2 linked regions of the Pelodiscus sinensis genome follow. Each later gene encodes a partner of the first gene's protein in a complex. Links are inferred from orthologs where the notes say so. Each region holds a gene or a part of one and is shown on either strand. Other genes may lie near its edges.

The links.
Region 2: the proteins of KIF15 (region 1) and KIFBP are in contact, whole or in part, in a cryo-EM structure (PDB 6ZPH), measured with the Homo sapiens proteins. The link is inferred for Pelodiscus sinensis from reciprocal best matches to the Homo sapiens genes KIF15 and KIFBP. Residues at the interface, in NP_064627.1 of Homo sapiens: Leu187, Glu189, Ile191, Lys192, Lys193, Arg231, Glu232, Arg235, Arg271, Met280, Arg281, Leu282, Lys283, Glu284, Ala285, Gly286, Asn287, Asn289, Arg290, Leu292, Ser293, Gly296, Gln297, Ile299, Ala301, Val303, Asp304, Val305, Gly306, His312; in NP_056449.1 of Homo sapiens: Lys26, Tyr33, Lys36, Ile106, Glu109, Ile147, Ser150, Glu151, Glu153, Thr208, His209, Tyr212, Tyr213, Gln216, Gln219, His220, Phe224, Gln238, Glu248, Trp249, Ile251, Asn252, Thr255, Gln258, Phe259, Asn262, Tyr415, Val416, Thr417, Glu421.

Annotation. Positions count from the first base shown.
Region 1 is NC_134712.1:177,955,138-177,962,242, reverse strand, and holds the start of KIF15 (kinesin-like protein KIF15), read right to left. Parts: upstream 3,014-7,105; 5' UTR 2,755-3,013; coding exon 2,736-2,754; intron 1-2,735. Other genes in the region: uncharacterized protein KIAA1143 homolog, read left to right, coding at 3,083-3,190. UniProt on the Homo sapiens protein: Plus-end directed kinesin-like motor enzyme involved in mitotic spindle assembly.
Region 2 is NC_134718.1:28,668,242-28,675,132, reverse strand, and holds the start of KIFBP (KIF-binding protein), read right to left. Parts: upstream 3,017-6,891; 5' UTR 2,703-3,016; coding exon 2,340-2,702; intron 1-2,339. UniProt on the Homo sapiens protein: Activator of KIF1B plus-end-directed microtubule motor activity. Required for organization of axonal microtubules, and axonal outgrowth and maintenance during peripheral and central nervous system development.

The DNA.
Region 1 (7,105 bases):
CAGGGAACTGGCAGCAGAGCTGGGGGGGGAGCAGGGATCGGGGGGAGCAGAGTGTGGGGTGCAAGGGTGGCATAGAGCCAGAGGGAGAGCAGGGGAACTGGGGTGCAGGGGCAGCGTGGTGAATGGATAGCGGGAGCCAGATGGGATGCGGGGTGGGTGCAATGAGCCGGGCGGTCGGCAGGGTGCAGTCTCTCGCCAGGAAGGGGCTGGGGCCGTGGCAGGACTGGAGCCGGTGGGGCACGCCACAGCCAGGAGAACACAGCCAGAGCCGAGCTGCCACGGCCCTTTAAAATGGGCGGGGCCACGTCACGCCAGCGTCCTGGCATCTGCCGGCGCTCCGCCTCCTCAAGCTGCAGCTGCACGCAGGCAGTCTGGCGCTGAGAAACGCCGCAGTTTCCCCTCCCCAGCAGCGCTCTGCTCCTCCGCCAGCTGGCGGATTGGATGGGGCCGTGCCGCTTGTAGTGCAAGGTTCGGCCAGCCCGTTACAATGGCCCACCGGGCCAGTCCGCCCCTGCACTCGCCAGCTGGCAAAATCTACTCGCCGTGGGCGAGCGGGTGAGTGTATTTGTCGAGCCCTGTGCATGACAGAATGATGTCATCAGCATATTTCTGTGAAAGCGGCTAGAGAGAGGGGGATTGGTGAGTGTAGCAAGCAGCAGCGGTAGCCCCCTAGTATCTTTAAAGCAATATAAGGCATTTTACTACATACAACACTTAGCAAGTAATGTATTGAAAGCTAAACAGTTGAGATTTATTTTTACTTTAATCTTTAACAAAATACGTAAAACCAATGCTATAAAGTACCCAGTCCTCTCCAGTGTCATCTTTTAATATATTTCTTCAAAATTCCATTTACATGAAGATGTGTTGTTTCCAACAATAGGCAGCTATGGTGATTTAATTATTCAAGAGCAAGTCTAATCTATAATCATACATCTATTGCATAAAATGGCTAGTCAAACACCCTATAATAAATACCACTGCAGGATCCAAGCATGTTATTGACATCACGGTGCAGAGGGGCTAGTCTTCGAAAGAGCATGTTTGATACATTAAAATGCTTCTTCCACTATGAGAAAAATAGTCCCAAATGTGCCAATGCTACAGTATTTCAACTCTGATATGCTTAATTGAAGCAATCTGTAACAAGGTTATCAATTTATAAAGCAGCATTTGCTATTTTCAAACTAATATGCAACATTGCCAAAAAATTACACATTAAACAGCACAAGACAATTAACCAATTTTTAAAAAATTATTGAATGAATAGCATTTCACCACCTACAGACCTAGAGGAGGTACAAAGTCAGTAAGTAATCAATAGCTTAAATTATCTAACTGCTTGCATTTTCCATTTTAAAGGAATGTTAGTAACCTGAATTTCTTATCTGGAGGAAAAAGGGCATCTACAGGTTGAAGCTCTCTGGTCCAGCACTCTCTTGTCTGGCAACATCCATGGCACATAACATCCCCAGGAGCACCAGCTTCACGGAGCTGTTTCCCCCCCCCCCCCCCCCCCCCGCATCTGTATCAGGCAGGATGAGGAGCAGCTTCTGTCTGCGGCCAGCCCAGGATTACCATAAACAGGGCCTGCTGCAGCCCAGCACTGCTGCATTTAATACAGAGGCAGCAGTGTGAAGTGGCAGGGGGCACAGAGCGCACTGCACTGGCTGCCAGATTCACCTGCCCCCAGGGATAATTAAATAATCATATAATTGATAAGATTTAGCACAGTTACATGATTATTAAATTAAATTAAATGAAACATCTAACATCCCTAGTCCACACTGAGGTTGAGCTGCACCTTTCCTGAGCCAGATAGTTGTCTAGGATGCATCATAACAAGCTACTCTCAGGCATGTTTAAGACTTTTGTTCAGCACTAGCCAGAAGCTGGCACCCTGCTTTTTCTCTTATGTACTCTAGCTGCATGAGCTCTGTGTAAGTGCTGCCAGGTCCCTCTCCGCCCACATCATTACCCCCTGGTCATCCCTTTCCCCGCTATTCGTGGAGCTACTTCCTCATTTTTACAGGACACTGTGTCTCACTCTTCCCCAGGCCGGGTGCGTTATGTGCACCCCTGACAATCTTCCGCCCTAGGCCCTGTTATTTGTTTTCTTTCTGGCTGGGACATGCTGCCTTTCCGTTTTATCCCATGACAACTTACTTTACTTAAGAGCCTTTGGTGAGGGGCCTTGTCAAAGACTTTTTGGAAATCTAAGCACACTATGTCCACTGGATCCCCCTCGTCCACGTTTGTTGACTCCCTCAAAGAGCGCTAGATCTGAAAAAGTGGGTTGTGCCCAGGAAAGCTCACGCTACCCTCTGCACGTTTTGCTCCGCTCCCGCGCTACTCGGCAATGTGTCGTTTTTAAAGTGTTTTCTAGCAGACGAGTAAGGCAAGATTTCCTTTTACACAAACCACCTTCTTCCCCCCAAGTCCGCCCAGGCAGCCGCCCCTCCCCGCCCCCCAGAGCCGCAGCTGCCGTGGACACGGAAAAGACCCCCCCCCCCGCAGCCTGGCCCCGCGGCGCTGCGCACTCAGCCAGGCTGCTCGCCCCGCACCGACGTGGGAAACACCGCGGAGGGGGCACGGGAGGCAGGACACCCGGCCCCGGCGCTAGCTCCGGGCGCTCCTCTCCCTCCCCGCCCCGGGGGATAAAAGCCCGTCCCCGCCAGAGCAGCATCGCAAAGCGGAGCAAAGGCCGCGCGGGCAGCCCCTTGGGATCCTCTCACCTTTGGTGCCAGGAGCCATGGTGCGCGCGCTGCCGCCCCGCTTCTCTGCCCGGCGCGCGCCCCCCCCCCCCTTAGCACCGACACAAACCGCGGCTCAAAATGGCGGCCCGTTTGAATTTGGCGCTAAGTGTCGGGAGAGGGCGGGGCCGCCTCCCTCTATGAAGTCATCACCGGGGCGGCCATGAGCGTTGGACGTCCTGACGCGCCTGTCAGACAGCGCCCCCGTCATGTGACCAAGAAAGGGCTCGGGTCGGTTTCTCACTTCCGGCCTGGGCGGAAGTGCGTCGTTCGATCTCGCTGTTGCTGTTGCCGTTGCCTGCTTGTCTCTGTGCGCGGCGGTCGCCATCATGAGTAAAAAGACGCAGGTCTCGTACGTGCGGCCGGCCGAGCCCGCCTTCCTGAGCCGCCTCAAGAGGGAGGTCGGGTATCGGGAGGGGCCCACGGTGGAGACCAAGGTAATGACACGCCCCTGCCCCTCGGGAGCCCGGCCACAGCCCGCCACGCTGCCGAGACCCGGGGATGGGCTCCCTCAAGCAGGTGAGCATGGCCGCTTCCCCCGCCTGCTGCTCCCAGCCCTGACCTCCCTCCCCCGCCTGTGCGGGAGCCTCGCCCTCTTTTCGAACGTCAGTGTCCCGCGTGGACACAAACGGCCCCCACCCACTCCGGGCAGCGGCCCAGGGAGAAGAAGAGTCTCCCCGGCCCGATCTCTGTGCTGCTGTACAACGAGGGCCCGTGGCATTCCACCGAAGGGAGCTCCTCAGGCCTAACGGAAGCCCCGGGGAAGCACCTGAGGTCAAGGCTTATTTCAGAGCCAAGGACTGTTATCGGGGCTCCCGTCTTACATCAACAGCCTGCTGCACTGAGCAACCGGCTTAAAAACAAGGGAAACTGGAAACCTTCAAGCCCTAAGATTGGGGTCGGCAACCTTTTCAAACCAAAGAGCCAAATTGCATCAAAATATGCAACTTAATATTACTGATAATTGACATGAATCATACAGACTGTATTTAATGGGACTTCTGCTACTGCATCTTTTTGCACATTTCTTTGACATTTACATCATAACTTGTCAAATCCAGCTTTTCAAATAGTGCACATTCAGGCTGTGTTCTCATAGAATCATAGAGCTGGAAGAGACCTCAGAAGGTCACAAAGTCCAGCCCCCTGGTCTAGGCAGGATCAATCCCAACTAAATCAACCCAGCCAGGGCTTTGTCAAGCTGAGACTTAAACACCTCTAGGGATGGAGACTGCACTACTTCCCTAGGTAACCCATTCCAGTGCTTCACCACCCTCCTAGTGAAATAGTTTTTCCTAATATCCAACCTGGACCTCTCCCACCACAACTTGAGACCATTGCTCCTTGTTCTGCCATCTGTCACTAATGAAAACAGCCTTGCTCCATCCTCTTTGGAACCTCCCTTCAGGAAGTTGAAGGCTGCTATCAAATCACCCCTCTCCCTCACTCTTCGCTTCTGCAGACTAAACAGACCCAACTCCCTCAGCCTTTCCTCATAAGTCATATGCTCCAGCCCCCTAATCATTTTGGTTGCCCTTCGCTGGACCCTCTCCAATGCGTCCACATCCTTTTTGTAGTGGGGGGGGCAGAACTGGAGATGTGGCCTCACCAGAGCCGAATAAAGGGGAATAATGACATCTCTGGATCTGCTGACAGTGCTCCTCTTAATGCAACCTAATATGCCATTAGCCTTCTTGGCTACAAGGGCACACTGTTGACTCATATCCAGCTTCTCATCCACTGTAACCCCCAGGTCCTTTTCTGCAGAGCTACTACTTAACTGGTTGGTCCCCAGCTTGTAACAATGCTTGGGATTCTCCCGTCCCAAGTGCAGGACTCTGCACTTGTCCTTGTTGAACCTCATTTGATTTCTTGTGGCCCAATCCTCCAATTTGTCTAAGTCACTCTGGACCCTATCTCTGCCCTCAAGCATATCTACCTTGCCCCCTAGCTTAGTGTCATCTGTAAACTTGCTAAAAGTGCAATCCATCCCCACATCCAGGTCATTAATAAAGATATTGAACAAAACTGTTCCTAGAACCGAACCTTGGGGCACTCTGCTAGAAACCGACCGCCATCATGACATTGAGCAATTGATCACTACCTGCTGGGCCCAGCCTTCTAGCCATCCTTCTATTCCTCTTACTGTCCATTTATCCAGTCCACATTCCCTTAACTTGCTGGCAAGAATATTGTGGGAGACTGTATCAAAAGGCTTCCTAAAGTCAAGGTATATCACATCCACTGACTTTCCCACGTCCACAGAGCCAGTTACCTCATCATAGAAGCTAATCAGATTGGTCAGGCACGACTTTCCCTTTGTGAATCCATGCTGACTATTCCTAATCACTTTCATCTCTTCCTTAAGGATCCCTTTCATGATTTTTCCAGGAACTGAGGTAAGACTGACTGGCCTATAGTTCCCTGGAAACTAAGCATTGAGTACTTCAGCTTTCCCCACATCCTCTGTCACTAGGTTACCTCCTTCATCCAGTAGGGGCCGCACATCCTCTCTGATCACCTTCTTCTTGTTAACATGCCTGTAGAAACCTTTCTTGTTATCCTTCACATCCTTAGCCAGTTGCAGTTCCATTTGCACTTTCGCCTTCCTTATAACCCCCTGGCATTCTAGAGCTATACATTAAAACCCCTCCTGGGTCATTTGTCCAAGTTTCCACTTTTTTGTAAGCTTTCTTTTTGTGCTTAAGTTATCCAAGGATTTCCTCTGTTAACCAATCTGGTCTCCTACCATGTTTGCCTCTCGCTACGCATTGGGATGGTTTCTTTTTGTGCCTTCAGTAAGGCTTCTTTAAAATACTGCCAGCTGTCCTGAACTCCTTTCCCTTTCATGTTAGCATCCCAGGGGATTCTGCCCATCAGGTCTCTGAGAGAGTCAAAAAACCTGCTTTTTTGAAGTCTGAGGTGTGCATTTTACTACTCTCTTTTTTCCTTTGATCAGGATCCTGAAATCTACCATCTCATGAATACTGTTTCCCAGGTTGTCGCCCACCTCTACTTCCCCTATTAGTTCCTCCCTGTTTGTGAGCAGAAGGTCAAGCTGCGCACGACCCCTGGTCGGCTCCTTCAGCACTTGTCAAGAAGTTCTTCCCAACATTCTCCAAAAACTTCCTGGATTGCCTGTGTACTGCCGTATTGGTTTCCCAACAGATGTCAGGGTGATTAAAGTCGCCCATGAGAACCAGGGCCTTTGATCTGGAAGCTTCTCTCAGTTGTCCGAAGAAAGCCTCATCTACCTCATCGGCCAGATTCGGTGGCCTGTAGCAGACACCAACCACAACATCACTGCTGTTGTTTGCTCCTTTAAACTTAACCCATAGACTCTCAACAGGTTTTTCTCCCTCTTTATACTGGAGTTCAGAGCAATCATAGTGCTCTCTTACATATAGTGCAACTCCTCCTTTTCTCCCCTGCCTGTTCTTCCTGAACAGTCTATACCCTTCCATGACAGCACTTCAGTCATGCGAGTCATCCCACCAAGTCTGTGTTATCCCAATTAAATCATATGTCTTGGACTGGGCCAGGGTCTTCAGTTCTTCCTGTTTGTTGCCCAGGCTTCTCGCATTAGTGTACAAACACCTCACTTAACCAGTTGATCGCCCTATCTTCTCCATTCGAATCAGGGGTACTCCTTTCTTGCTCGTTCCTCTCTGCATTTCTTCCCAGTATCCCACTTTGCCACTCCCCTCAGGGTTTTGGTCACCGTCCCCCGACGAACCTAGTTTAGAGCCCTCCTCACTAGGTTTGCAAGCCTGCCTGCGAAGATGCGCCTTCCTCTCTTCGTTAGGTGGATTCCATCTCTTCCTAACAATCCTTGTGCCTGGAACAGAGTCCCATTGTCGAAGAAACCAAAGCCCTCTCTGTGACACCACCTGCGCAACCAAGCATTTATGTCCTCAATTCGACGATCACTGCCCAGTCCTTTCCCTTCAACAGGGAGGATGGATGAGAACACCGCTTGCGTGCCGAATTCTTGGGTCCTTCTTCCCAGCGCTACATAATCCGCAGTAACCCGCTCAAGGTCATTCTTGGCCGTATCGTTAGTTCCCACGTGGAGAAGCAGGAAGGGGTAGCCATCCGAAGGTTTGATCAGTTTGGTAAGCCTCTCAGTCACATCCTGAATGCAAGCTCCTGGTAAGCAGCACACCTCTCAAGATTCCAGGTCCGGACGGCAGATGGATGGCTCAATCCCTCTTAGGAGGGAGTCCCCAACAACTACCATCCGTTGTTTTCTTTTGGGGGCGGTGGCCGTGGAACCCCCATCCCCATGGACTACGCATTCCATGCCTTCTAGTAGATGGTGTTCCTTTCCGGTTTCTTCCTTGTGAGGTCCC
Region 2 (6,891 bases), on another chromosome or scaffold:
TGTCAGCCTCTTTGATTATGATGTTAGAATTGTTTGAGGCTGCGTATAGCATTGTGTTCTGCATGACTGAGGCTGTATGTTATAGTCAGCAAACAACAGCATGTGTCAGCAGTTTGAGCACGTTTGTGGAAGCAGTTGTTGTAGAAGTCAAGACTCTCATTACAACCGTTAGTAGGGGTCCACACAGAAGCCTTCCTCTTGTAGGATTGGCAGGGGAGAGCAGAAAGGTCAGTGTATTGTACATCAGTGTGTTGGAAATATTCCTTTAGGTGGAGGCAGTGAAAATAGACTTCCTGATCTCCACAGAACTGAATTATATTTGTAGGGGTGATGGGGCAGAAAGAGAGTCCTCAAGATAGCCCCGTGGAGGAATCTGTCCTAAGAGAGAGGTTGGATACGTTGACAATATTGCTAGGTGAACTGAAAGTATCTGGAATGAGAGATCTTGAAGCATGTAGGAGTTTGGATAGTTTATTGTCCTTTTTATTCCAAAGGGAGATGAAGTGATCCTTGTACGTGGTTTACTGAATTTTAGTAAAGTCTGGAAAACATGAAGTCTGTATGGAAGCTTGGTTTTCTAGGATAGTTTCTAATGTTGAGAGCTCCTCCTTGATTTTCTTCTGTCTGTTGAATAAAATGCTGATAAGGTGGTTCCTGAATTTCTTTGCAAGAGTGTGGCATAATCGCTAACTGTAGTCTGTGGGATATGTAGATTGCAGTGGGTTTTTCACCCTCAGTCCCTTAGGTACGATGTTCATCTGTTTGCACTTGGAAAGAAAGATGATGTCTGTTTGGATCTGTGAGAGTTTTTGTGTAGTTGATATATTTCCACTCGGTATGGCAGAATGCAGTACATTGCATGTTCAACCAAGTGGGTTGCCCCCACAAAAGCTCATACCATCTACATGTTTTGTTAATCTTTAAGGATATGTCTACACTTGCTCCCTAGTCCGAACTAGGGATGCAAATGTAGCATACCAAAGTTGCTAATGAAGCACGGGATTATCATATTCGCGTCCGGTAGCCATTTTAAAAATCCACTAGTCCGAATTAACTCACCATGTGTAGATGCGGTATTCTGAAGGAAACCCCTTCTTTCAGATTAACTGTTACTCCTTGTGCAATCTGAGGGAAAGGGTTTCCTTCGGAATACCGCATCTACACGCGGCGAGTTAATTTGGACTAGTGGATTTTTAAATTGGTGACCGAACGCGAATATGCCAATCAAGCGCAGGATATTTAAATCCCGCACTTCATTATTAACTTTGGTATGCTACATTTGCATCCCTAGTTCGGACTAGGGAGCAAGTGTAGAAATATCCTAAGGTATTACTAGTCTATTTGTTGTTTAAATTTTTCCTGTTACAGACTAACTCCGCTCCTCCTCTGAAACTTTTAAGATTCCAGTATTTCAATAACTCATATTCCCACTTACATCACCTTACCAATCACAAGTAAGATGTGCCACGGCCTGGCTAGGATTATGTTGTTATCCTGCCAAAGGTCAGGAACACCCCAAGTCTGCAAATGGGGATCGGGCCTAACCGATTCCAAATATTACCCTGTCCTAGAGTGACTGGAGATTCCCCCATCTGGAGATAAGCCAACATTAGGCTCAAACAAAATACAGGACTATGTAGCACTTTAAAGACTAACAAAATGGTTTATTAGATGATGAGCTTTCGTCTGGCCCACAAAAGCTCATCATCGAATAAACCATCTTGGGTGTGTCTAGACTACATGCCTCCTTCGACGGAGGCATGTAGATTAGCCAGATCGGAAGAGGGAAATGAAGCCGCGATTAAAATAATCGCGGCTTCATTTAAATTTAAATGGCTGCCCCGATCTGCCGATCAGCTGTTTGTCGGCAGATCGGGGGAGTCTGGACGCGATGCCCCGACAAAGAAGCCTTTCTTCATCGACACAGGTAAGCCTCGTGAAACCAGGCTTACCTGTGTCGATGAAGAAAGGCTTCTTTGTCGGGGCATCGCGTCCAGACTCCCCCGATCTGCCGACAAACAGCTGATCGGCAGATCGGGGCAGCCATTTAAATTTAAATGAAGCCGCGATTATTTTAATCGCGGCTTCATTTCCCTCTTCCGATCTGGCTAATCTACATGCCTCCGTCGAAGGAGGCATGTAGTCTAGACACACCCCTTGTTAGTCTTTGAAGTGCTACATAGTCCTGTATTTTGTTTCAGCTACATCACACTAACACGGCTACATCTCTATCACCATTAGGCTCAAGAGAGAAAATCACATCCTCAGGGCGCCCTCCCCTCCCGCTGTGGCAGCAGCTCGTCAATCAGGCGGGTTCCAGGGTGGCAGCCGCTCCCTACCTGGGCCTGGATGTAGAGGGAGACGCAGTCCCGGGAGAGGCGGTGGCGCTCCAGCAGCCGAGTGCACTTCAGCAGGTGCTCCTCGCCCGCAGAGAGCTCCTCGGTCTCGGTGTGGTTCACCCCCAGCTCGTACTCCACCACCGCCCGGCGCATGGCCCGCAGCGCCGCCGCCTCTCCCGCACGGGCGCCCTCGGCCGACTCCTCCGAGCCCAGCAGCTGCCGGATCTCCTCCAGCAGCTCCCGGGCGGCGTACTTGGAGCGATAGGGCTCGTTCTCCGGGTCCTTCTTGGACTCCACGCTGGAGAGGCTCAGCGAGCTGCGGAACTTCTCACAGAGCGAGGCCCAGCCGGCGGGGGCCGCCATCTTCCCGCCGCTCCCAGCGCAGACCGCAACTGCCACTCTCGCGCGCCGGCGCGGACACGTGACTGTCTCTCGCTGGGCAATCAGGGACGCTCACGGTGTCCGGTCTGACCTGTCACGGCGCGCGGCTAGTACCACGCCCCGCCCCCACTAGGAGGCGGCGCACGTTATCCGAGCTCCCCTCCCCCTAGCCGCGGAGCATGAGTCAGCGCCCGACCGCCACCCGCCTGAGGGGCAGCCTAGACCTGCATATGGTGATGACAATGCGCCGGCTCGTCACACTGCCACAACGGCAGCTCTGCGTAACGCACGCCCTCCCCGCACGAAGTGCGCTGCCTCACTTTCCCGCCTGCGACCCCTTTGAAGCTGGCTGAGCTGCCTTGGGTACCCCACGAAAAACCTAATTCCCGGCCAATGGGAGCAGCGGGGCAAGACTCCTCCCCCGCACTCCAACCTGGGCGGCGGGGGGTGGAGCGCTGGTGACGGCTCCCCACTGCGGAGGTGAGCCCCACGGCCCCCTGCAAGATGGGTTAGCAGACCACACCTTGAGACCCACTGCCCTAAGGAATCATTTTGTCATTTGCAGCTTAGCACTGAATGTCTCCACTTACTGCCAACAGAAGGCTCTGGTAGCCGCTAGGTCCGTGTTTCTTAAACTTTTTAAGACCAGCAGTTTTGTCCGATGCCGTGGTGAGCTGCACCCCTGACTCCTCAGTCTCTGGAGAGTGCACTCTTGCAAGTGAGAAGTGTTGTGCCTTCACTCCTCCCAGGGTGAAATCCCATAATACTCCCCCTAACAGGACAGGAAATTCATCCACCCTATGAATGGCAGGTAGGTTTCTAGGGGAACCTGGTTGGTTTTCTGTCAGCTCACCTGTCAGGCTGCTGGAGAGCCTGGGTTTCCAGAGGAATAAGTTGGGGGCAGCCAGCTACTCCATGTGGTTTTTGGAGGGAGCGTGGTGGTAGGGAGTTGAACTGATAAAAGAAAGTTCTTCTTTACACAGCGTGTAGTCAACCTGTGGAACTCCTTGCCAGAGGAGGCTGTGAAGGCTAGGACTATAACAGAGTTTAAAGAGAAGCTAGATAATTTCATGGAGGTTAGGTCCATAAAGGGCTATTAGCCAGGGGATAAAATGGTGTCCTTGGCCTCTGTTTGTCAGAGGCTGGAGAGAGATGGCAGAAGACAAATCGCTTGATCGTGTCTTCGGTCCACCCTCTCTGGGGCACGTGGTGCTGGCCACTGTCAGCAGACAGGATACTGGGCTAGAAGGACCTTTGGTCTGACCCAGTACGGCCGTTCTTATGTTCTTATGTAACTGGAACAGTACGATCTTCCCAAAATGAAAAATTTTGGAGTTTCCTTTTTGAGAGAAATGTGTTTTCATTTTCTTGCCTGCAGGCCACCTCCCCTGCCCCAAGCTAAGGACATTGTCCCAACATTTCCTGACATAATGCATTACTGGCTTATCCAATGCCAGTGTCTCAGACACTGCTTGTGTCTGCCTGCCAGCACTGCCCTGCTGCAAACCCAAGAACCTTGCTGAAAAATTTGGGTCTTGTCTATAAGGCTGTGTCTACATTGGCACCCTTTTCCGGAAATGCTTAAAACGGAACAGTTTTCCGTTATAAGTATTTCCGGGAAAAGAGCGTCTACATTGGCAGGATGCTTTTCCGGAAAAGCACTTTTTCCGGAAAAGCGTCCGTGGCAAATGTAGACGCGCTTTTCCGGAAAAAAGCCCCGATCGTCATTTTCGCAATCTGGGCTTTTTTGCGGAAAAGACTACTGTGCTGTCTACATTGGCCCTTTTCCGGAATAGTTTTTCTGGAAAAGGACTTTTGCCCGAACGGGAGCAGCATAGTTTTTCCAGAAAATCACTGACAATTTTACAGTAGATCGTCATTGCTTTTCCGGAAAAGCAAGCGGCCAGTGTAGACAGCTTTCAAGTTATTCCAGAAAAGCGGCTGCTTTTCCGGAATAAGTGGCCCAGTGTGTAGACAGCCTAAGACTTTGGACATAGTGTGCTAGAGACAACTACACCCACCTATAGGCATCGCTCATGCCTCTGGCTGGAAGACTGGGGCCATGTGCCAGGTTAGCACTGTATGGGCTGCATCTGAAGTGGGGACATCTTTTAGACACTCTTTCACCCTATCTGAGAAATGGAGGCTCACAGAAAAGCAACAAAGAATCATAGAATCATAGAATACTAGGACTGGAAAGGACCTTGAGGGGTCATCGAGTCCAGTCCCCTGCCCTCATGGCAGGACCAAGTACTGTCTAGAAGACCATCCCTGATAGACATTTATCTAACCTACTCTTAAATATCTCCAGAGATGGAGATTCCACAACCTCCCTGGGCAATTTATTCCAGTGTTTGACCACCCTGACAGTTAGGAACTTTTTCCTAATGTCCAAGCTAAACTTCCCTTGCTGCAGTTTAAGCCCATTGTTTCTTGTTTTATCCTCAGAGGCCAAGATGAACAAGTTTTCTCCTTCCTCCTTATGACACCCTTTTAGATACCTGAAATCTGCTATCATATTCCCCCCTCAATCTTCTCTTTTCTAAACTAAACAAATCCAAATTTTTCAGCCTTCCTTCACAGGTCATGTTCACTAGACCTTTAATGATTCTTGTTGCTCTTCCCTGGACCCTCTCCAATTTCTCCATATCTTTCTTGAAATGCGGTGCCCAGAACTGGACACAGTACTCCAACTGAAGCCTAACTAGTGCAGAGTGGAGTGAAAGAATGACTTCTCGTGTCTTGCTCACAACACACCTGTTAATGCATCCCAGAATCATGTTTGCTTTTTTTGCAACAGCATCACACTGCTGACTCATATTCAGCTTGTGGGTCCACTATAACCCCTAGATCCCTTTCTGCAGTACTCCTTTCTGGACAGTCGCTTCCCATTCTGTATGTGTGAAACTGATTGTTCCTTCCTAAGTGGAGCACTTTGCATTTGTCTTTATTAAACTTCATCCTGTTTACCTCAGACCATTTCTCCAATTTGTCCAGATCATTTTGAATTATAACTCTATCCTCCAGATTAGTCGCAACCCCTCACAGGTTGGTATCATCTGCAAACTTAATAAGCGTACTTTTTATGACAATATCTAAATCATTGATGAAGATATTGAAGAGAGCCGGTCCCAAAACAGACCCCTGCGTAACCCCACTTGTTATACCTTTCCAGCAGGATTGTGAACCATTAATAACTACTCTCTGGCTGCGTCTAGACTGACATGATTTTGCGGAAATACTTTTAACGGAAAAGTTTTTCCGTTAAAAGTGTTTCCACAAAAGAGCATTTAGGTTGGCACGGATGCTTTTGTGCAAAAAGTGCTTTTGCGCAAAAGCGTCCGTGCCCAGTATAGACGCGCTTTTGTGCAAGAATGCTCCGGTGGCCATTTTAGCCATCGGGCTTTCTTGCGCAAAAAATGAAGATGCCTGTCTACACTGGCCCTCTTGCGCAATTATTCTTGCACAAGAGGGCTTATCCCTGAGCGGGAGCGTCAAAGTATTTGTGCCAGAAGCACTGAATTCTAACATTAGAACCTCAGTGCTCTTGTGCAAATTCTCGCGGCCAGTGTAGACAGGTGGCAAGTTTTTGCACAAAAGCGAATGCGTTTGCACAAAATCTTGCCAGTCAAGACGCACCCTCTGAGTATGGTTATCCAGCCAGTTATGCACCCACCTTATAGTAGCCTCATCTAAGTTGCATTTGCCTAGTTTGATAAGAATATCATGTGAGACCATATCAAATGCCTTACTAAAGTCTAGGTATACCACATCCACTGCTTCTCCCTTATCCACAAGATTCGTTATCCTATCAAAGAAAGCTATCAGATTGGTTTGACATGATTTGTTCTTGTTTTTTCCTCTTTGATTTACATAGAAGTTATGTTGTCAGTAGGACACGTGTGTGTGTTCCTTTGACCAGTGAGAGAAAATGGACCCAGGTATTCTTGACCACCCTGATCTCAAGTTGATTTGGAGGGATAACTGTGAATTACCATTTGCCATGTGTCGTAAGGTCATTTACATGTACACCCCACTGGTAAGTGATGTTAGTGGTGAGAAGTAACAACAGAAAAGTTTATAAAAAGTTGGCAAACATTTGCTGGATTTTGCCACCAGTTTAGGGAGTTTTAAACCATCATGGGCAGTGACACAGATTTGTCTAGTGTCT